Linked DNA regions of Caenorhabditis elegans. The protein of the gene in region 1 interacts with the protein of each later gene in a pairwise test. Each region holds a gene or a part of one and is shown in the gene's direction. Other genes may lie near its edges.

What was found.
Region 2: the proteins of Y75B8A.7 (region 1) and T01B7.5 interact in a two-hybrid assay, tested with the Caenorhabditis elegans proteins (one large-scale study listed by BioGRID).

Annotation. Positions count from the first base shown.
Region 1 is NC_003281.10:12,148,707-12,160,254, forward strand, and holds the start of Y75B8A.7 (U3 small nucleolar ribonucleoprotein MPP10), read left to right. Parts: upstream 1-4,192; 5' UTR 4,193-4,208; coding exon 4,209-4,279; intron 4,280-4,348; coding exon 4,349-4,529; intron 4,530-5,396; coding exon 5,397-5,831; intron 5,832-6,983; coding exon 6,984-7,141; intron 7,142-8,349; coding exon 8,350-8,699; intron 8,700-10,139; coding exon 10,140-10,891; 3' UTR 10,892-11,548.
Region 2 is NC_003280.10:8,713,620-8,724,459, forward strand, and holds T01B7.5 (Sas10 C-terminal domain-containing protein), read left to right. Parts: upstream 1-3,214; 5' UTR 3,215-3,225; coding exon 3,226-3,248; intron 3,249-3,300; coding exon 3,301-3,506; intron 3,507-3,550; coding exon 3,551-3,774; exon of another isoform or gene 3,775-3,817; coding exon 3,818-3,904; intron 3,905-4,769; coding exon 4,770-4,876; intron 4,877-4,923; coding exon 4,924-5,044; intron 5,045-5,089; coding exon 5,090-5,248; intron 5,249-5,414; coding exon 5,415-5,567; intron 5,568-6,313; coding exon 6,314-6,457; 3' UTR 6,458-6,462; intron 6,463-7,893; 3' UTR 7,894-8,066; downstream 8,067-10,840. Other genes in the region: Ras-related protein Rab-21, read right to left, coding at 532-641, 708-915, 961-1,128, 1,252-1,389; cyn-11 (Peptidyl-prolyl cis-trans isomerase 11), read right to left, coding at 1,574-1,683, 2,121-2,301, 2,347-2,505, 2,560-2,661; T01B7.13 (uncharacterized protein), read left to right, coding at 1,798-1,952, 2,002-2,098; trcs-2 (TRansport of membrane to Cell Surface), read left to right, coding at 8,877-9,017, 9,068-9,703, 9,751-10,350, 10,399-10,840.

The DNA of each region.
Region 1 (11,548 bases):
CATGGTGCCAGGCTGTCCCATCACGGTTTGATCTACAAAAAATGCGGGAATTTGTTCTGAACCATGCAAAATCAGCGGAGAACTCTGCGTCTCTTCTTCCGCATTTTTTGTAGATCTACGTAGATCAAGCCGAAATGAGAACTTCTGACACGTGTCTGACCACGTGGATTTTGTTTGGAAACTTAAATTATTTTAGACGAATTTGCCGAGTCCAAGCTTTCTGAAATTTGGCGAAAGTGTTTTTTTTTTCAGAATATTTTTTTTTCACAAGTCCAAGGGAACTATTTATAAGAGTTATCAAATTATTATAATGTGTACATCTGAAAATTTCGACAATTCCTCTACTTTGCCAGGCTATATCTCGGTTCTCTTTGGATTTATCAAAAAATTGCCAACTGACAAAATATGTACAAAATGTTTCTCTACATTTTCACAGTATAACATTTTTTGGTAAAATTTAAGACTATAAGCCGTTAAAGTTGAGCAATTTCGGGAATTTTTTTTTCGAGAAATCTGAAGCACTGTATTGCTTGCTTAATTTTAATATTCTATTCATGGATAAATTATTTAATTTTTATTTTGAAAATTGAGCCCGTAAATCGACTACAGTAGTCATTTACAGAATTACTGTAGTTTTCTTTTCGCTACGAGATATTTTGCGCGTCAAATATGATGCGCAATACGCATTCATAGAATTTTGATTTCCCTTTATAAAACGATAAAACGACTAAATATCATAACATAACGTGAAAAAAATTGTGGTAATTTTTCAATTTCGAGTCTAAAAATAGGGAAAACTGACTAGTGAATTTGCTCCATTTTTCGAAAAATCTAAATCATCGACGACTTCCAAAAAAAAATTCCAAAATATTTTATTATTACAATCTAATACTTCAATATAATATGTAACAACAATTGATCCTAAAATTAATTTCTGCACAACACAGGGTCACCCACACCGACTTCTCATTAAAATGGACAGGTTGGTTCCAAAAAGTAGGTACACTTCCTCTCTGTCTCTCTGAGAAAATAGTGGGTTATAATAGTACGTGGGGGGTCCTACTCACAATGAATCATAATTCTCAAGGTTGCTCATAAAAGAAGATAGTCAGGGGGGATGTCAAGGGAAAATTGGGGAGTGGATGGAAGGTAAGGGATCGAGAAGAAGAGGAAAAGTACAGTCTTTGAGGTGAGTTGTTGTAAATATTGAGAACGTTGAGAAGGGTAAATCAATTGGGTAAACACTGGAAGTGGTTGGTGTAGTGGTGAGAGTTGTTCTATCCAAAATCACTGGTTTTTGGTTTGTTTTTTCCTTAAAATCTGAATATATTTGAATATTACCATAATTTCAAGGTGCTCTTTGACTGAACCCTTCGTGGATCCACGTGACTGTCCGAGAAATCCGGCGAACCAGTTGAGCACCCCGCGTACCGTGCTCCGGTGCTCACCAGTACTGCGTCTCTCTCTCTCTCTCTCTGTGCTCAAAAACCCCCCGGCCCTCTCTCCCCTTTTGCAAATAGGCAGTGTATATTGAGGAAACAATAGGGGGCAAACTTTGCCTCTCCTTTCACTGTCCCATACACACACACACACACACACACATACTCTAATTCCTTCCATCATATCTGAGAAAGAGTTTTCGAGTTTTGGGGACCAAATTATTTAGGATTTAAGTTAACGATAGACTAGAGGGCCTGCGGGCCCGCCAGCGGTTGCTCCGGTAGTCGGCTTGGTGTCAGAGTGTCTCATTTTCGGTTTAATCCGCGTAGATCTACAAAAAATGCGGGAGTTGATACACAGAGTTCACAACTGATTTCACATGGTTAATAACGTGTTGACGCCACATTTTTTGGGCAACAAAAAATTCCCGCATTTTTTGTAGATCAAGCCGTAATGGGACAGTCTGGTACTACGTGCTACTATGCTAGTATGCAGCGGCATGAATTTTGCAAAATTAAGAATCCTTGCGGTATGCTCATGGTGTTCTGGCCTTGGTACAACAGCTAGATGAGTGCAAACGCGCTCTACCGAACGAACCCAAATTTGACCGGTTAGGAAATTTTCAATCAAAAAATTTCTTAATAGAAAAGATCGAGAATTTTTTTGCGATCATTTTTCATATGCATCGCAAAATCAAATTTGGGGTTAGTTTTCGAGATAGCAGCCAATATAGTTTTCAGACTGAGTATCATGAACCAATCCATCTAGTTTCTGTGCTACCGTGCCGTCCTCATTGAATTTTTTTCGCGCTCCATTGACAATCGCTCTCCGGACATGGGAAAGTCGTGTACTCCACACGGACAAGTGCATTTAGTTTTACAATCGAGCCGCGACGCGACACGCAACGCGCCGTAAATCTACCCCCAGATATGGCCTGGCCTAGTTCGGCAAAAACTCTTCCATTTCAATTTCTGAGGGAAGCCAGACACATCCGTGAATTTTTGACCATATCCACGTTTTTCTTGTCAAATAACAATAGCATATTCAACAGGACAATTGACAATTGAATTGAGATATGAGAAACAAGAAAAAGTAATTTGACTCCTGACTTCTTCTTCTTCTTTTTCATAGAGTGGATGGTGGATAGTGACATACAAACAGGGCACACAGTTTCGTGTTGACACTCTCTCTCTCTCTGGACAGAACAATATAAGACACGAACATGAAAAGGAAGATGAACAATGTTCCTGCAAAAAAAAGTTGAAGCTTGGAAGAGTTGGAGAAATTTTCACCAAATCAGCAATTGCCGGAAATGAAAATTTCGGGCAAATCGGCAAATTGCCAGGATTGAAAATTTCCATCAAATCGGCAATTGCTGAAAATGAAAAATTTGGGCAAGTTGACAAATCGGCAAATTGCCGGAATTGAAAATTTCCGGAAAATTGGCAAATCGGCAAATTGCCGCAATTGAAAATTTCCGCTAAATTGGCAAATTGCCGGAATTGAAAATTTTCCGGCATATCGGTGAATCGCCAAATTGCCGGAATTGAAAATTTCCGGAAAATTGGCAAATCGGCAAATCGCCGGAATTGAAAATTTCCGCCAAATTGGCAAACTGCCGGAATTGAAAATTTTCCGGCATATCGGCGAATCGCCAAATTGCCGGAATTGAAAATTTCCGGTAAATTGGCGGAGTTGAAAATTTCCAGCCAATTGGCAATTTCCGAAAATTAAAATTTCCGGCAAATCGGCACATTGCCAGAATTGAAAATTTCCGGCAAATTGGCAATTGCCGAAAATTAAAATTTCGGGCAAATCGCAAATTGCCCGGAATTAAAAATTGCATTTTGCCGATTTGCCGAAAAAACGACAATTGCAGAAAATTGTGGTTTTGACATTTTTGGAAATTTCAGAATTTCAACATTATTTGTTTTAAGTGGATCCGTCTTTTTAAAAGTCTCTTTAAAAACTTTCGCAAACGGCAAATCGGCAATTTGTCGAAAATGGAAATTTTCGGCAATTTTGCTCGTTTATTACATGTTTAATCCTAAATTTCGGTATATTTTCAGTCGCTGGGAACACAAATTTCATAAAATTTCGCTTTATTTTGTGTTAAAAACTAAATTTTCTCAGAAAAATTCACATTTTAAAGGAAATTCTTCAATTTGAACTTCCCGCTATTTTTATACTGTCTGTTTTATCAACAGGGCGCGTTTGCACTTTTCAACTTCTGGCTTTTTTCGCCTTTTTTAATCCATTTTTTCACATTTATTGATCGAAAATCTTGCGGATAAAGGCTATTTTTTCAAGATTAAATTAATAAAAATTTGAAATTACTTAAATTGAATCCTAAAATCTGTGAAAATCCCAAAATAATACTCTCAAATCGGAGCCAAGCCGTCAATACATAGAAAAAATCCAAAAAACCTTAAAACTGCTGATTTTTCCACTTTTTTCTACAATTTTCCGACACTTTTATAGGTTTTCCATGCCCTAAGTACAAATATGAACGGGATTATTCGTTTTTCTCCCCTCTCTGGCACTCTTGTCGTCTCTCGCCCTCTCACTTACCCCCGCTGTCTCGTTTTCCCATTTCTCGGTGAAATTTTGAACCAATTTTTTGGTTTTTACACTTATTTTGACGATTTTTCCAGTATTTTCGTGTAAAAATTGAGATTTCTCGTGTTTTTAACGTTATTTTATGTGGTTTTAAGTTGTAAAACTTTTTTTTGGGAATTTATCGATTTTTAAGGTAATTCGCTGCAAAAATGACGAAATCAAAGTCAAAAAAGGAGGATTTGATCCCGGAAATCGGGGATTTCACAAAGTTTTTCAAAAGGTTGGCATAATTAATCGAAAAAAATATAGAAAAAAAATTTAAAAAATCAATAAAATGTTGATTTTTCAGTCGATCAAAATTTTCCGACCAAATAACCGATGTTATTTCGAATGTCTACGAATGGTCGACATCACTGGAACCTTCAGAAGACAATCTTCCACTTCCATTTGTTTCGAAAAACGAAGAAGTCGTTTGGAGTTATCTGAAGCATCAGAATAAGCAATTAGATGGAATTAATAAGAAATATAAGGTGCTTATTCGCGGGATTTTGCTCGAAAAATCCTAAAATAATCTTAAATTCCGAAAAAACACAGAAGAAAATCGAAAAAATCGATTTTTAAAGTTCTATTTTTCAATTTTGGCGAAATTCCCTCCAATTCCCTCCAAAATGAAGAACGACCAATCAGCGATTAGCACCGCCCACTTTTGAACCAATAAGAGGAAAGGGGCGGAGTTCGAAGGTGCTGATTGTTCAGTACAAAAAACGGAGGAAAAACGAAAAAAAATCGATTTTTTTTTCGAATTTTGGTTAAATTCCGTTTCCGACCAATCAACGATTCGCTCCGTCCATTTTTGAACCAATCAGATGAAGTGGGCGGAGCTCAAAGACGCTGATTGGTCGTGCAGTCCTTATTTTAAAGGGAATTCAACAAAATTTTAAAAAATCGATTTTTAAAACGTGATTTTTCAATTTTGGTTAAATTCCGTCTTCGACCAATCAGCGATTCGCTCCGCCCACTTTTGAACCAATCAAATGAAGTGGGCGGAGTTTGAAGGCGCTGATTGGTCGGGCAATTCTTATTTTGGAGGGAATTCAAACAAGTTTGAAAAAAATTGCGTTTTTAAATTTCAAACTAAATTTTCGGGATTTTTGAAAAAAATTTCTAAAAATCCCGAAAAAAATGTCCTAAAAAATTTCTAAAAATTCCACAATTTTCAAAAAATCTAGAAATTTTTAGCAATTTCCGAAAAATTTCTAAATTTCCAAAAATATTGAACTTTTTTTGAAAATTTTTGAAAAAAATCGAGTTTTTTTTTCTGAATTTCAGGCTATTTTTTGGAGTTTTTTTTCACTTTTTTTTTCCTCAAAATTGCTTGAAAATGCTCCGAATTTCAGGGATTTCTTTCCGAGTTGATTGGAAAATCGCATATTCGGGTGGCGGCGAAAATTCAGGATTCTGAAGGTTCGGAAGATGGTTCTGATGGCTCCGATGGCGGCTCCGAAGAGGAGCTCGATGATGATGAGGAAGAGCTGGAAGATGAAGAGCTCGAGGATGAAATGATTGACGATGAGGATGAAGCCGATCTTTTTAATTTAAGCGAGAGTGATCTGAAGACGTTGGACGCTGATTTGAAGAAAATGGAAGAAGAAGAAGCCGGAGAAGAGAAAGAGGAGGTGGAAAAAGCCACAGAACAACCGAAAAAATTCAAGAAATCCATTGTGGACGATCAGTTTTTCAATCTTGACGAGATGCACGATTTTTTGCAAAAAACTGAGAGAGCTGGAGGCAAAAAGGCCGCTCAGGATGAGGAAATGATGTTTGAGGATGAAGTATGTACCTGGATGGCTGAAAATCTGCAAAATTTGGATTTTTATGAGCCGAAAAGTGCCAAAAAGTGCCCAAAAACAATTTTAAAAATACACACTTTTTTCCACAAAAAGTGCGCGAAGAAATTGCAAACTCCGCCCCCCTTTTTCCCGGCCAGAATTCGTAATTTCGAAATTAGAGTGCAATCGCGCTCCAACGCCAACACAACACAAGTATTGCCGGAATTGTTAAATTTTCGGCAAATTGGTAAATTGCCGGAATCGATAATTTCCGGCAAATCGGCAAATTGCCGGAATCGATAATTTCCGGCAAATCGGCATAATTGGAAATTTCCAGCAAATTGGCAATTGCCGAAAATGAAAATTTTGGCCAAATCGGCAAATTGCCAGAATTGGAAAGTTCCGGCAAATTGTCAAGTTGCCGGAATTGTTAAATATCCGGCAAACCGGTAAATTGCCGGAATTGAAATTTCCAGCAAATCGACAAATTGCCGGAATTTTAAAATTTCCGGCAAATTGGCAACTTGCCGGAATTGAAAATTTCCAGCAAATCGGCATATTGCCTGATTTGTGAAATTTCCGCCAATTTGCCGAAAATGAAAATTTTGGGCAAATCGGCAAATTGCCAGAATTGAAAAGTTCCGGCAAATTGTCAAATTGCCGGAATTGTTAAATATCCGGCAAACCGGTAAATTGCCGGAATTGAAATTTCCAGCAAATCGGCAAATTGCCGGAATTGCAAAATGTCCGGTAAATCGTAAATTGCCAGAATTGAAAAGTTCCGGCATATCGACAAATCGCCGGAATTGTTAAATATCCGGCAAACCGGTAAATTGGCGGAATTGTGAAATTTCCGCCAATTTGCCGAAAATGAAAATTTTGGGCAAATCGGCAAATTGCCAGAATTGAAAAGTTCCGGCAAATCGGCAAATTGTGGTTTTGCACAATTTTTTGTTGTTGGAAACTTCATATTTTCTTGTTCCAAACGAGACCCAATAGGCCAATTAGCGATGGAGCGCGATTGCACCTCAGTTTTCAAAAACCGCCTCGCTGCCATAATATATTAATCTCGATGAAAATTCCCTAAGAAAATGTGTGTGTGTGTGTGTTTTTTTCAAAATTTCAATTAAAAAAAAAAAAAAATAATAATTTCAGGATAGCTGGGACGGAAAAACCGACTACACGTATGAGGACTTTTTTGGATCTCGTGAGACAGTTGCTGAAACCGAAAAAATGAATGGAGAGAAGAAAAAAATTGAAAAAGATAAGAAACGGAAGGCTGGAGATAAAGCTGATTTATCACTTGATGATGGGTTTGTAGTTTGTAGTTTGGAGGAATTGGAGAAAAAAACGGAAAACCACAGAAAAAAACGAGAAAATCCCCCAACCAATCAGCGTCTTCAACTCCGCCCACTCCACCTGATTGGTTGGAAAGTGGGCGGAGCGAATCGCTGATTGGTCGCGGTCTCATTTTGAAAAAAATTCGGCCAAAATATTGAAAATCTGCGTTTTTTAGTTTTCAAAAAATGTAGAAATTCAGCAATTTCCGAAAATATTTAGAAATTTCTAAATTTTTGGAAATTTGAAATTTTTTTTTCACTTTTTTTTCGCCAAAATTGATGGATTTTTCATTATTTTGCGATTTTTTTTTTCGTTTTTCTCCAAAAATACTGTAAAAATGTAGAAAATCACTAAATTTATCCGAAAAATCACGTTTATTTCAGCTGAAAAAATCAAAAAATATTTTTCGAATTTTCTAGCTGAAATAAATGTAATTTTCCGGATAAATTTAGTGATTTTCTACAATTTGACACTATTTTTCAATGAAAATCGTTGGAAGCACATGGTGCAACATGACAAAATTGTAAAATTGCCGAAAATAAGTGAAAAAAATTTAAAAATCCCAATTTTCAATCTTTTTTCTAGGAACGCCGAAAAAATTGCGAAAAAAGTTGCAAAACGCGATGTTTTGAATTCCCTCCAAATGAGAACTCATCGACCAATCAGCGACTCGCTCCGCCCATCTCTGGACCAATCAGACGAAGTGGGCGGAGTTCGACGACACTGATTGGCCGGGGAGTTTTCATTTTGGGGGAATCCAAACAAAAGTGAAAAAATCGATTTTTAAAAACGTGATTTTTCCAATTTTGATCAAATTCCGTCTGCGACCAATCAGCGATTTGTTCCGCCCTTTTTTGCACCAATCAGGGTGTGTGGGAGGAGTTTGAAGGAGCTGATTGGTCGAAATGCTAATTTTGCGAATTTTTCGCAAAACTCGGAAAAATCCAACTTTCTGAAACTACGACCAATCAGCGATTTGCTCCGCCCACTTTTGCACCAATCAGGGTGTGTGGGCGGAGTTTGAAGGCGCTGATTGGTCGGGGAGTTTTCATTTTGGGGGGAATTTGAAATTTTAAAATCCAAATTTAAAAAATCGCCTTTTTTGTGATTTTTCCGAATTTAGGACTATTTTTTAATAAATTTTTAAAGCGAAAAATTCAATTCAAAAATGTTCTTCCAGAAAGAACAAAAAACGCGTTCGTTTCGCAATGGATGAGGAACCTGAAGAAGAAGAAGTTGAAGACGAGGAGCAAGAAGACATTAATGATGAAGAAGAGCCCCCAGAGGATGAGCCAGTGCTCCTCGGAGCCGACCTCGAAGAGCCGAAGGAAGAATCGGCGTTTGCCAAGCGTCAGTCCAAGATGAAGGAACGAATCGCTAAGCTTGAGGAGGAGAATTTGGCTCCAAAATCGTGGGAGCTCTCCGGAGAGGTTGCCGCCGATCAGAGAGATCAGAATACCCTGCTGGAGAAGCATGTGGATTTTGATCATGGAGCAAAACGTGCTCCAGAGGTTACCGAAGAGTTTACAGGTACGCTGATGATGGCTGGAAATTGGAAATTTTAGAAGAAAAACTATGGGAAAAGCGAAAAAAATCGGGAAAATCTCACTTTTTGAAACTGCGACCAATCAGCGATTAGCTCAGCCCATTTTTGGACCAATCAGATGGAGTGGGCGGAGTTTGAAGGTGATGATTGGTCGGGGAGTTGTCATTTTGCGATTTTTTATCAAAAAAAATCGGGAAAATCCAACTTTTGAAACTGCGACCAATCAGCGATTAGCTCCGCCCATTTTTGGACCAATCAGATGGAGTGGGCGGAGTTTGAAGGTGCTGATTGGTCGGGGAGTTGTCATTTTGCGATTTTTTATCAAAAAAATCGAAAAAATCCAACTTTTGAAACTGCGACCAATCAGCGATTTGCTCCGCCCATTTTTGGCCCAATCAGATGGAGTGGGCGGAGTTTGAAGGTGCTGATTGGTCGGGGAGTTCGAAAATTGAAAAATCACGATTTTTTTCTTTTCAAAGTTTTGAATAAAACAATTTTTTCGGCAGGAAATTAGTTTTTTGAAAAGTTGCAAAAATTTTATAAACAAATTTATTAAAATTGTATTAAAATTAACACAGAAAAAGAGGCGGAGCCTAATTTCGCAACCTTGCCGCACGGTTTTTCCTCTTTCTTTTTGTTGGTTTTTTTCCAATGAAGTTTCGATTTTACTTGTTTTATTTTCTTTCGAAAAACGAAAATAAAACAATTAAATTCAAAAATTGATTTAAAAAATGAAAACCGTGCCACAGGGTTGCGAAATTAGGCTCCGCCTATTTTCTGTGCGACAATGCTGCTTTTTGTAAAATTTACGAATGGAAATCGCCAAATTTCAACCATAAAATAGGCAAAGAGAGCCTCCGTAACACGGAAAAATTGGCGAAATTTGAGATTTGAAACCGTCGCACAGAAAAAGAGGCGGAGCCTAATTTCGCAACCTTGCCGCACGGTTTTTCCTCCTTTTTTGACCGGTGTTAATTTTAATATCCTCATAATAGCATTTTCATTCGAAAAAGAAAATAACATAATTAAATTCAAAAATTGATTTAAAAAAATTAAAACCGTGCCGCAGGGTTGCAAAATTAGGGGCTTCGCCTATTTTTCTGTGCGATGCTGATTCACGACGGATTGCTCGTAAAATTTCAACCATAAAATATGCAAAAAATAGTATTTTTTTCGCAAATTTCGAGGCTTTAGCTTAAAAATGCCGTTTTTTTTTTCAAATTTTAAGACGAAAACTGCCTCTTTTTCTGTGCGATGCGCAAAATTTTATTTTTTTCTAAATTTCAAATATAAAATAGGCAAAAAATAGCTGATATGACATGGAAAAATTGGAAATTTTCGAGATTTTAGCTTAAAAATTCCGTTTTTTTTTTTTTTTTTTTAATTTCAGCCATAAAATAGGCAAAAATAGAGTTTTTTTCCAGACCGCCTCGAGTCACTTATCAAGCAACGAATTCGTGATAAAGCCTGGGATGATGTGATTCGAGTGAAAAAAGTCGAAGCGAAAGGCGCCAAATTCGAAACTGAAGCCATCGAGAATCAAATGAATCAGAAAACTTCCTTGGCTGAGGTTTATGAGAAGGAATATCAAAATTCGACTGGAAATTCTGCAGATGGAGCAGCAGGAGCCACGAAGCCGAATGAAGCTCATGAAGCTATAAAATCGAAGATGGGAGATCTCTTCCGGCTAATTGATGCGCTAACTCATTTCGAGTATAAACCGGATCAAGCTCGCGAGGAGGTGAAAGTGGTCTCAAATATGGCTGCTCTACGTGTGGAAGAAGTCGGAATTACAGCTTCAACGGAGGCTCAGCTTATGGCTCCAGAGGAGATTTCGAAGAAGATGAAGGCGATTGAAAAGAGCAAGGATGAGAGAGACGCGACTGATAAGGCACGAGAACGTCGGCAGAAGAAGGCTAAGCAGAGGTCGATGCTGGAAAAGTTTGGCGAGGAGCGAGTTTTCGGAGAGCAGAAGGCGGTGAAGCTGGCCAAGAAGGAGAGGAAGGCTGGGAAGGAGAAGGGCGGCGGGGTGGATAAGATTAAGAGCTCGAACTTCTTTGCGAAGCTTCAGGAGACGGTGGCTGCTGAGAAGAAGGATGGAGCGGTGACGAAGAAGAAGAAGAAGATTGTGAAGAGATTGAAGAGTGATAAGAATTCGGCTGCTATTAAGCTTTAGTAATCGATTATTTTGTTTTTTTTTTTGTTTTTTGTTTTTATTTTTCTATTTTTCTATTACTGAAACACAAAATTCAAAATTGTGCATCATGTTTGACGCGCAAAATATCTCGTAGCGGCGAAATGACTACTGTAGTGTCGATTTACGGGATCTCGATTTTCGAAAATGAATTTATTTTATATGCAAAAAAAATACTATTAAAAGTATAGTTATCGATTCTTGAATTTTGCAAAAAAAAAAATTATTCTGTCGCACAGAATGTAGGGCGGAGCGTAGCTGCCGCACGGGGTTTGTCTCCGCCCCTTTTCCACTGTTTTTTTTCTCGAAGTTTCTAGTCTTTTTCTTTCTTTTTTTTTTGGATAAAGAGAAAAATAAAATAATAGTAAAATCGAAACTTTATTGAAAAAATCAACAAAAAAAAACAGTGGACGCTCCGCCCTACTTTCTGTGCGACAGAATAATTTTTTTTTTTTGCAAAATTCAAGGATCGATAACTATACTTTTAATAGTATTTTTTGCATATAAAATAAATTCATTTCGAAAATCGAGATCCCGTAAATCGACACCACAGTAGTCATTTCGCCGCTACGAGATATTTTGCGCGTCAAATATGTTGTGCGATACGCATTCTCAAAATTTTGTGTTCCCCGTAATATT
Region 2 (10,840 bases), on another chromosome or scaffold:
TGTGTATTCTGATGGTGATCACGCTAGATCTCTACAGTATTACGGTAGCTACCGCAGTAGCACTAAATTCTGAGAACGCGTATTGTGCAACATATTTGACGCCCAAAATATCACGTAGCGAAACCTACAGTAATTCTTTAAATGCCTACGGTAGCACCTGTGTCGATTTACGGGATCGATTCTCGAAATGAATCGTAGAATATTAAAATAGGCAAAAAATGAGAAAATAATATGAAGAATCGAAGGAAAATGGAGTATAGCAGTCACTATACGTTAAAAAAATTCATTTCGAAATTCGAGCTCGTAAATCGACAGGCGCTACAGTAGTGATTAAAAAAAAAAATTAAAAAAAAAAAATTGAACCATTAAGATAGAAATATGATTTTATTATTGTATGAATTGTGCGTAAAGTTTGACAGGAGTGCGACTAGGAAAGTGACGTAGAGGAAAAGAATCGGGAAAAATGAACAAAATAATACAGGTGACCGGTATAAGGGGGGAAGTGTTCAAGCATTCATTAAGCTCTTTTAATCAGCGACAGCACTTTTTACTCCTTTCTGCTTCGTCGTTGTCAATTAATCGGATGGATCGATTCGTAGATGGTGGTTCTGTCGAACGAGTACGCGAATGTTCGATCATTTCTGAAATTTTTGGTATTTTTTATTTAGGCAATACCCAAGCCATGCAAAACGTTTAGGCCAACTTACTCGCAGTTAAAGATTCAAAAGCATCAGAGATTCCAACATTGTCCTGAGCAGAAGTCTCCATATACAATGCCCCTTCTGATTCTGCGTATGCTTCCGCATCCTGTCGAGTGACCTGCCGTTCTTCTTCAAGATCAATCTTGTTCCCGACTATCAGAATCTCTGCAGTATTTCCCAGGCATGTTTTTATTTCGAGAACCCAGTTCTTAACCTTAAAAAAATGATTTCAGTGGTGCTCTTTAAAATATTTTGATACCTTTTCAAATGACTTTCTATCAGTGATATCGAAAACCAGTAGCACGCCATTGCTTCCTCGATAGTAGATTGGACCGAGTGCGTGGTATTTCTCCTGTCCAGCGGTATCCCAGATGTGTAGGTCAGCTTGGCAGTCTTCTACATTCACAGTTTTGTTTTGGAAGCTTGCCTGCAATATGAAGAACAATTGGAAAATATTTTATATGCATATCAAAATCTTGATAACTGAATGAAGAAAAACCCAGAAATATTTTTTTGGATTATCTATCGCAACCTTTTTCTAAATTATTACCTGAATCGTCGACAGGTGTTTGCAGCTGAATTTATTTTCAACGAATCGAAGCACAAGTGATGATTTACCAACACATCCTTCGCCGAGCAACACGATCTTGAATTTGAACGACTTCTGATCCACGTTGGTTTCGAGCATTTATTCTGAAAGTATTCGATTTTGAAGGTTTATTTTCTTTACTTCGCTTTTAAAACTGAACCAGATATACTAACAGTCACTTATACTGTCTTTTCATTTCATTTTTCAACCCATATAATCAGAAGTAATTAATAGTTTATTGTGAATATAACAAAACGAGATCAAAATAACAATACAGTGAAAATTAGAGTTGGCCACATTGAACAACAACAATCGGAAGTTTCGGCTTGTTATTGGCTCCAGTTGGAACATTTTCGATTTTCCGAACCGTCAGCATTCCATCGAGTACTCGTCCTGCAATAAACGATCGGTCAGAAATATCAAACATATCAATGGCGTCATTAACTAGCTTTATCTCGTATAAAAGGTGATAAGGATATAAGGAAATCTAGTTGTTTTAGCTAGACGATGACACGCATTCTCGTTCTAATTTTTTTCTTTTTAAAATGCGTTTCATTGCAAACATTACTTCCTTTATTGTATGCTAACGCTGGCATGTTCAACCCATATAATCAGTATAAAACAACAACTATGGCACCATCAATGTATCACCAACATTATCAGTGGGTATCATTAAAATTTGCGATTTTCTTTTTAAAACACTGCTTTCAGGGGATTGGGATGGAGAACTAATGACGTTGGAGACATTTATCACAATCACAATCCGTATTCTTCTTTCTTTGTACTACAGAAATCAACTTATCCGTGAATTTGAAATAAAAAAAAATTACCAAAAACTACATGTTTGTTGTCAAGGAAATCGGTTTTTGCGCAAGTGATAAAAAACTGACAACCATTTGTGTCAGAGCCAGCGTTAGCCATCGAAAGCATTCCTGGTCCTATGTGCTTCAGCTCGAAATTCTCGTCACGGAACTTTGAACCATAGATGCTCATCAAACCGGTTCCATCGCCCTGAAAAAATGATATAACTTTAAAATTTAAAATTGTTAAACTTACGTTGCAGAAGTCGCCACCCTGAATCATAAAGTCCTTGATCACACGATGAAATGTGCAGTTTTTGTATCCGTTTGGGACACCATCTTTTTTGTATTCTCCTGTACAGAACTGACGAAAGTTTTCAGCAGTTCTCGGTGTTACATCAGCAAATAACTCGATCTGAAAAATTATGAAATATATAGCAAATTAAAACTGGAATGGTCGTCAACTTACAACAATAGTTCCGATTGGTGCACCACCGGCGGTAACTTCTAGAAAAACGATTGGGTTATCCGGATGACGGAGCTGCTCGGCAAACTTGTCGTATTCAGTCATTCTGAAAAAGAAAACATATAAATGAGTTAGTTTTTAAAACCAGAAAAACGTTTTCTGTAAGTATTCGAAATAAGTATTTTCGAAATGTGTCAGGTTTTTCCGAGAATAATGGGATCAACTGAACTAATCGTTCATAAGTTTTATAACCAAGAAATACAAATTCGTCAATAAAATTCGACATATTCAAGAAAAAAGTGATATTCGTTCTATTCAAAACAAAAAAAGGTGAGCATTAAATGGGTGTATAGAACAATAATAAAGTGCGCGGGTAGTTTGCAATCAGAAACCCCGCCCACAAAGCCCTGCCGCTAATAATTTTCCCCCGTCTTTTCTCAAATTCAACTCGAAAATTCAATTTTTGAATAATTTATCTTGTAAAAGTTCGTTCTATTCATTTAAAAATTAATTTATCGAAGTTTATCACACGATTAAAGCATAATTAACTTTATTAGAGTTATTCATTGATTTGAAAATCAGAATTTGGTTTATTTTCGGTCGGTGCAATCCGTTTCTCTGTTGAAAATGCTATAAATTGCTAATTTTTGGATTTCAGATACTAGAACTATGTCATCAAGGAAGGGGAAAGCGTAAGTTGAATGTTTTTCACAATTTATAAATAATCATTAAATATATTTTCAGATCTGCTCATATCTCATACGAAGACGAAAATGATGATCTCATTGATGAAATCAATACTTTTCATAACAAAGACAGAAAAGTCGAAAAGGGTGCTATTCACAAAAGAAAAACATTCAATCGTCCAGAAGAGGTGTTAAACGTTGAAGCAGAAGCATCGGATAGCAGTGAAGACGATGGATCCGACTTTGATGATGACGATGTTAATGGTAGTTTTCTTTCTGAATTACCTGATTAACGTAATTTATTTAAGATATCACGGACAACAAATGGGGTAAAAAGAGGAAAGATTTCTATGGAACTGGATTCGTGGATAAAGATTGGGGCGGAATGCGTGAAGAAGAAATGGAAGATGCTCAACTCGAAGAGGAAGATGCGTTGACTCGTCAAAAACAAATCGACAAATCGACAGCTGCCATTGCTGATTTATTTGACGACGACGATGAAGATGAGGAAGAAAAAGAAGAAACTGTCGAGGTAAACGAATTGAAAGAATAATTAAAATAATGAAAAGTTTTAGGTGGAAACAGTTTTAGAATTCAATGAGGAGAATGCAAGGACAAAGAACAAAAAAATCGTGAAAACTCTGGAACAATTTGAAGCAAGAGTAAGTTCTAATTTTTTAAAATGTCTCTTCACTTTTTTCCCGGTATCAGTTGCAGCTTCTTCCTCTTGTGATAATTTCCTATTTCTTCCTAATGCCAATTCTCGAAAGTTTATTAAATTTTGAAGCTATCACTTGTGAACATCAAATGCTGATTCGTATCGTTTCCAAGGTTAATTTTTCGTGTTCTCTCTTTTTCAGTATCTTCCCGTTTTCACTTCATCTGTTCTCTTCATTCTTTCAACTAAACACCACCGATGGCTAGTAGATAAGCGGTCTCAAATCGCGCAATCGTCTCTGATTACGTCAAAAACGGGTTGCCATCATAGCCTAAGGATGCTGGACGATTCGCTTTAAACGATGATTCTCAACGGACAAAACACACAATTGAAACGATTTAAATCATCCAACATCAGACGCCGTTATGTGTGAACATTAAAAAGCGAAAGCAAAGTGCCCTTCTGGTGTCTGAAGAATTCGATGCCTGAACTGCTCGAGTTAGTTTCGTATGTTCTCATCCTCAAACATCACATTCTAATTATTCTCATAACTTGTCTTGTTTTCCTCGTTTCTGTTCACCTGGTCGGTTTGTAATTCACACCAAACGATGTTGGACATATATCGGCAGCGACCGCCAGCTTTTTCTGTTTTTCAATTATATATTGCTACTTTCAATTCTAATTAGCGGCTAAGAATTGTTATACAGCTGTTTCCGGAGAGCTCGTGACCAGTTTCCTTTTCACCTGATAACATTTTCTCTTGTTGTTATCTTTCTCTTCTTCCTTTTCACTTGTTTCTTTTCATCACCATTCTAACAGTTCAATTTTCCCCTTTTTTCGGTTTAATTTTAATTTTTTATACTTTTCAGAAACGCATCTTCGATCTCGTCGTGAAGCCTCTTGAAAATGTAATCAAGCAGATTCCAAAATGCGCATTGCGATCGCAGTTAGTCTACGTTGCCCAGACATATGCATCGTATGTTTTCTTTTCCTAAATTTCCATTTTTATGATTTATCTTTCAGATACCTCATGAACACAGCATTCCTGTTGAATCTCAGAGCCAAACAGTTTTCCAATGAAAAACTCGACGATCCACTTGTTGACATCCATCCTGTAGTGGAGTCGCTGAAACGACTTGAAAAGGTATTCCGATTGATTTAAATTTCAAATACAAACTTTTAAATTCAGAAAATCACCGAGTGTGAAGATTTTTTGCATTCGAATTCGGATCATCTGGATGAGCTCAAGAAATGGGCGGAGTCGGAGCCAGAAAATATGGAAGAATTGATTTCGAAGGTTGGAGATGTTCAACTTACAAAGAAGAATTTTGGAGCAATTATGAACAATGTAAGTTTAGGGAAAACATTATTCGAATTTAAATACATTTTTTGTTTGCCGTATATTTTAAAGATTTTTAAAGTTTGTAAAATTTAAAAAAATTGTACATTCTTTTGTCAATAAAAATCAGGAAACATAGCTGAATTGGATTAAGATCTGGATTTACTTTTTTCAGAATCTTTCAACAATCACATCTTCTGATAACACATCAATTCATCCACACTTCACACCAATGGATGCAGATGAAAAAAGAAAGGCCTCTGACAAAGTTGCCAAAAACCGTGAATACGCAGAACGACGTGGGAAAAAGAAGGCCAAGACCAGCAAGGTAACTTTATTTTCGATTTTTTATCTTATTTTTAATACCAAAAATATTTGTATCATAAACAATTAGTGTATGAAAAATAATTCGATGAGTAGGGTCGACATTTCTTGTGCATGAAAATGTTGTTACAATGCTTTCACGAATACATGAATATATTTGAAAAATAACAATTCTTGTTTGACAAAAAAGTCTCACAAAGCCGAGTTTCATGTGAGATCAAAATATGAATACACTACATAACTCTCTATTTTTTGCTCCAACCCAAAAATCCAATACGTCGAGACGGCGTCTATGCTCCCCACCACAGCGAGTAATTGGCTGCCGAAATCTCAACTTGCTTATTTGGTTTCTATTTTTTTAAGATTCTTTTTCGAGAGTTGTGATAAGAAAATAATTAATTCAGTATCACACCTGCTTGCTACTGAATTCAAAAAAAGTTTTTTAAAAAGCGTAGTGTAATGAATTATCTGAAGCATATTTTAACTCAAAAAGAAAACCGAGCACAAATGAAGCATATAACCATGACTTATTCAGACAGATAAGTAATACGATTTTGTTTAATCTTAATTTTTCTTGAAAGAAATAAAATAGACTCACTGTGACATAGACAATTCAACGTCTAGGCGACGACACTTGAGAGTTTCATCCTTGGTTACGTATACTATGCTCATTTTTACTGCAACTCCCAATTAGCTGCGTTGTGTGTTTTTTTTTTTGAAGTCTCCCAGTTCAATAATTTCTAATTTCAGACTAAAAATCGTCGCAAGGTCCACGCCATCGAGAAGCGCGTCAAGTCTCAGATTGGAAACGTTCGTCGCGAAATGCAGAAATATTCTGGAGAAACGAGCGGAATTCGTGCATCTACAATCAAGTCGACTAAGCTTATCGCTTAAAAAAAGTGAGTTGAATGTAATGCAGACATCTCATTCTGATATCGTGCCATGTCATATTTATCACGCGACATACTCTTCACTCTCCACTGCGCAAATGAGCTTCACTCTTTTACACATGAAAATAATTAGCATATGAAACCGAAAACAATGTGAATATTAACTTTCAACATAAATATCCTATCAACATATAAAAACAATGAAAAACCTGAATTTACTTATCATATGGTACGTATGTTTAACCTTTTCCTATTCCTCTCGTTTGCCCTTTTAGTCGGTTGAATGTGTTTTTGTGTGCCCGGTCACTTTGGGGCTATATTCATCAAAAGAGGATAGCCTTCTTCTTATTCTTCCTCCATCGGTCATTTCGCTCCTCTCTTTTCGACCCCGGCAATATGTGCGCGAGGTCTGGCACCACCGTGTGTGTGTGTGTGAGAGCGAGTATCCTATTTTTTATTCGTGTCCCCCGTCCCCATGAACGACTGGAGCCCTAGCCACCTGCTACTTTCCATTTTAGTTCAGCTGACCTCGTATTGTCTACGAGCTGTTCATAATTTCATAAGAGCAATAAAGTGTACTATAAAACTGTGATTTCAGACTGTTTCTCTATTTTTGAATCTTTTTAAATACAACAAATTCGAAAAGGTGTTGACTAGTCTGTCTGAATGAATATTTTAATTTGAGATTTGAGTCTGATGTGTGTTACACATTGATGAGAATTTAAAGTAATTGTGACGTGTCATTCTCGAAAACCAAGCCTCTTCGGATTTGTTCAATAATTCGTATAGCTCGTTTCATGTCAGAAAGGCGAATACCCGTAACTAAATTACTTTTTCCTAGAATGCTAAAGAAAATAACTGATCTATTTCAATCAAGTTTAGGCTAAAATTTAATAATTGATGGCGTTCACATATGTGTGTGTGCCTGCGTGTGTTTGCGTGTTCGATGATAAGCTTTCTTCTGATTGTCTTCCTATGATTCATCAATTCTATTGCCTCCAGCCTCTTCTTCTTTCATACAATTTTTCACTGAAAGTTTCATAGCTCTCGGAAAATGCCTACGACGAAAATTGTAGTCACATATCACATATTGATAAGCAGACGTTTTTCATATTTCTCTATTTCTATTCAATGATATAAAGTGGTCTGCAGCATGTTTGATTATTAATTTTTTTTTTTCTAAATTGAATTATCTTGGCTTTGAACTGATTAAAAAATGCATTTTCTATTTTCTTTACAATCGATCGTTTTGTTATAGTCCTCGTGTGAATTCTAAAAATGTTCGTTCATCAGAAATTATAGATGACCTTTGTTTATTTTGTGTCTTCTATGAAAAAAAAAAGAGCCTATCATCCAAAACTTCTGATATCAACGGTTGAAAATTAATTTTTATCAATTTTCTCAACATTGCATTACCTTTTCAACCAATTTAATTTTCAGGTGTCATCAATTTCTCCGTTGCCACTGCATTCAGCTGGACTTTCCTGGTTTTTTTGATCGTTAATATCTTGTTTTCTTTGATTTATTCATTTTTCATTTATCCTGTTAACCTTCGTTGTTGATTTTTTTTGTTCCTAAAATCGCCCTTTCTACCAAAATGAAGTTGAGTTTTCAATTTTATTGAAAATAATTATTTTATTGCCTTATATCGGTTTGAAACCCGACGAATATCTTTCTTCTATTATCTTATTATTGTCATTTCCCATATTCACATTACTTCTTCATTATTATCTTCATACATTGTTATCACATGGCTCCTCATTGATTATGATAGATTCATTTCCCCTCTGGAGATTTGATTGTCTTGGCAACAGTCATTCTCCCCACCAACACATATCAGCTCGCAGCTCCGCCTCATTCTACATTTTCTCATTTTACATTCCATTCAGTCGGCTCAGTGTCTTTCGTTTCCCCAAAAAGCTCGCTTAGATATAAACCTATAATTATCAGAGTGTTGAAGCAAACATCTCCGATGCTCGGTGAGCTGCAGTGACTAACTGAGACAAGCACTGGTTTTCAGCTTAGAAATTCACCTGTTTCTGTGGCATTTTCGCAATATTATATTTCCTGAATTTCTTAGAATCAGAGTGTCACTGTAATTTCAGCTGCTCGTTACCGAGGCTTCACGTAATGGGCGGACGAGTACTGTTCCCCAATGCTCCCCCAATCTTTGCACTTTTTTATCTGCTCATGTTATTTTTTCTTATAAGACTGGCAGACGGTCCTTTGTGCATCCGTCGAGCTCACATTTTTCTCTTTATCACAGCTTGCATAACCATCGCTCTCACTTTCCTTCTCCCTCACCGATTTTCCAATTTTCTTCTCTTTTTTTCTCTTATTCTTTCCGCTTTAAACCTCAAATCAAATTGATTTAAACGTAATTTCATTAATATTATTTCAGCATTGCACTCGATAGTCGAATGATGTCGAAGATTTTAGGAGATGGACATGTTCGGAAAACCGGTAGATCTTGTGTGATTTTGGAAAAACAACATAATCGTCTAGTTGACTTACCTGATAGTGCTTTACGGTTGAATTATGAAAAGAAATATTATGAACCAGAGGTAAGTTCTTCGAATCGTGGCTTCAAAGAACTTTAGAAAATAACTTACAGAATGGTGATCATTTAATATTTTCTGCTCAACTTCAAAATGGTCGTTATAGTGCATTGACAGCAATTAAACCAACTGATCTTTTACAAGTTTATGGAAGTCTTTCTTATTTGGATGAACAATTAAAATTTGGGCATGTTTCAATTCATGGAAGAACTGCGAAAGTTTTTGTTCCTTTTTCAACAAGAACGACGAATGGAGCGTGTTGGTACGGACAAGGAGCATATATCGACAAACCTTATCTCATATACATTTTCCGTCAAGAAGAAGCTCACGGCTGCAAGTTTGTAGCATGGGCTATTTATGATGATACTAGAAAGACGACAAGCGTACCACCTACTCCTACGGACATTCAAAATACCTCACATATGAAGAAATTGGGGCCTCCAACCGCCGTTCAACGACAATCGGATCATCAATCAGTTGAATTTGTTCAAGCTCAATCGGGTGTTATCTATGATATCTCTGACAATTACGTGATATCTGTGACTTCTCCCACTTGCCAAAATGTTGAATTTGCACCTACGTTGTATGAAAGTTGGATGAGACCAGGTCGTTTTATAACCTTTGATGGGCGTCGTGTTTCCGATGTCAAGACGTCTAAGCTGATGGGAAGTAATCCTGAAGATATGGGCTCGGTAATTTAAACTAGAGTAAAATTAATACTAATTTGTTTTTTTTGCAGATCTATCCAATTAGAAAGTTGACTCCTCTTACGATAACCATAAGTGCTATTATGAATAAGGTTTCACATGGAAAAGCTGGTTGGGCGTGGAACGATCATGTTGGGAGAATCTACATTCCATGGAACAGTACTGATCGATATATGCAGGCATCAAAACCACTTCCGTTCACACCTGTTCATCTAGAGATTGCTTACAACGGAAAACATGATGATATTCCATGGGTCGCCTGTGGTTCTTCTCTTGTCGAAGAACAAGAATATGATCAAATTGTCGACGAGAACTCAAGAATGCTGAAAACGGAGGACAATTGGAAGATCCAATCAGTTGTAGATGGACCCGAAAATCCGAGCATCTTCCTTGCTAAGTTTGACGAGAAGGGATTGAAACGAACTGCATTTGCAAAAGTAATTGACCTGAATAGTGGAAACATCCCACCTACTGGAACACTTGTTCGCATCACATATTACGCTCAAGAACGTCATGGAAGACATGCAATGAGATGTGTTTTGGTCACTACAATGGAGAAAGTTGAACGTTTTCCAAAAGTTCATTCTATTATCAATGGAAGTGGCGAAAAGCACTTCCCAATGATGTATGAGGTAAGTTATACTAATCTAAAACGAGAGTTAAGTATTTTCCAATTTCAGCAACCAATACCGAAGAAACAAGTTATTCCTCCAACTCCTGTTCAACGAGTTCAAGCTGCACCTCCTCCAGCCAAAAATTGCTGGAACTTAAAAAATCTTGGTTCACCTGCAGCTCAACCATCTGTACAAGACTTTCCAACAGTTACTGGAGACGAGGATGATAATATCTTTGTGGAAGAAACGAACACGGCTCTACCACCTCCTGGATTTGTACCACCAGGCCTAGTTGCTCCACCAGGTCTTCCACCACCACCAGGACTTCCAGCAGTACCACTTTCAACTGACCTCGCTTATGATTTCAAAATGACTTCAAGCATTCCAATGACAAACGGTCTCGGACACCTCCGACTTGGATCAGTGTGGAGTGGGACTCCAGTTGAGGCGAAGCAAGAAGAGCCCTTACATTATTTCCAGCAACAAGACAATTTTCTCGGTTCATCAT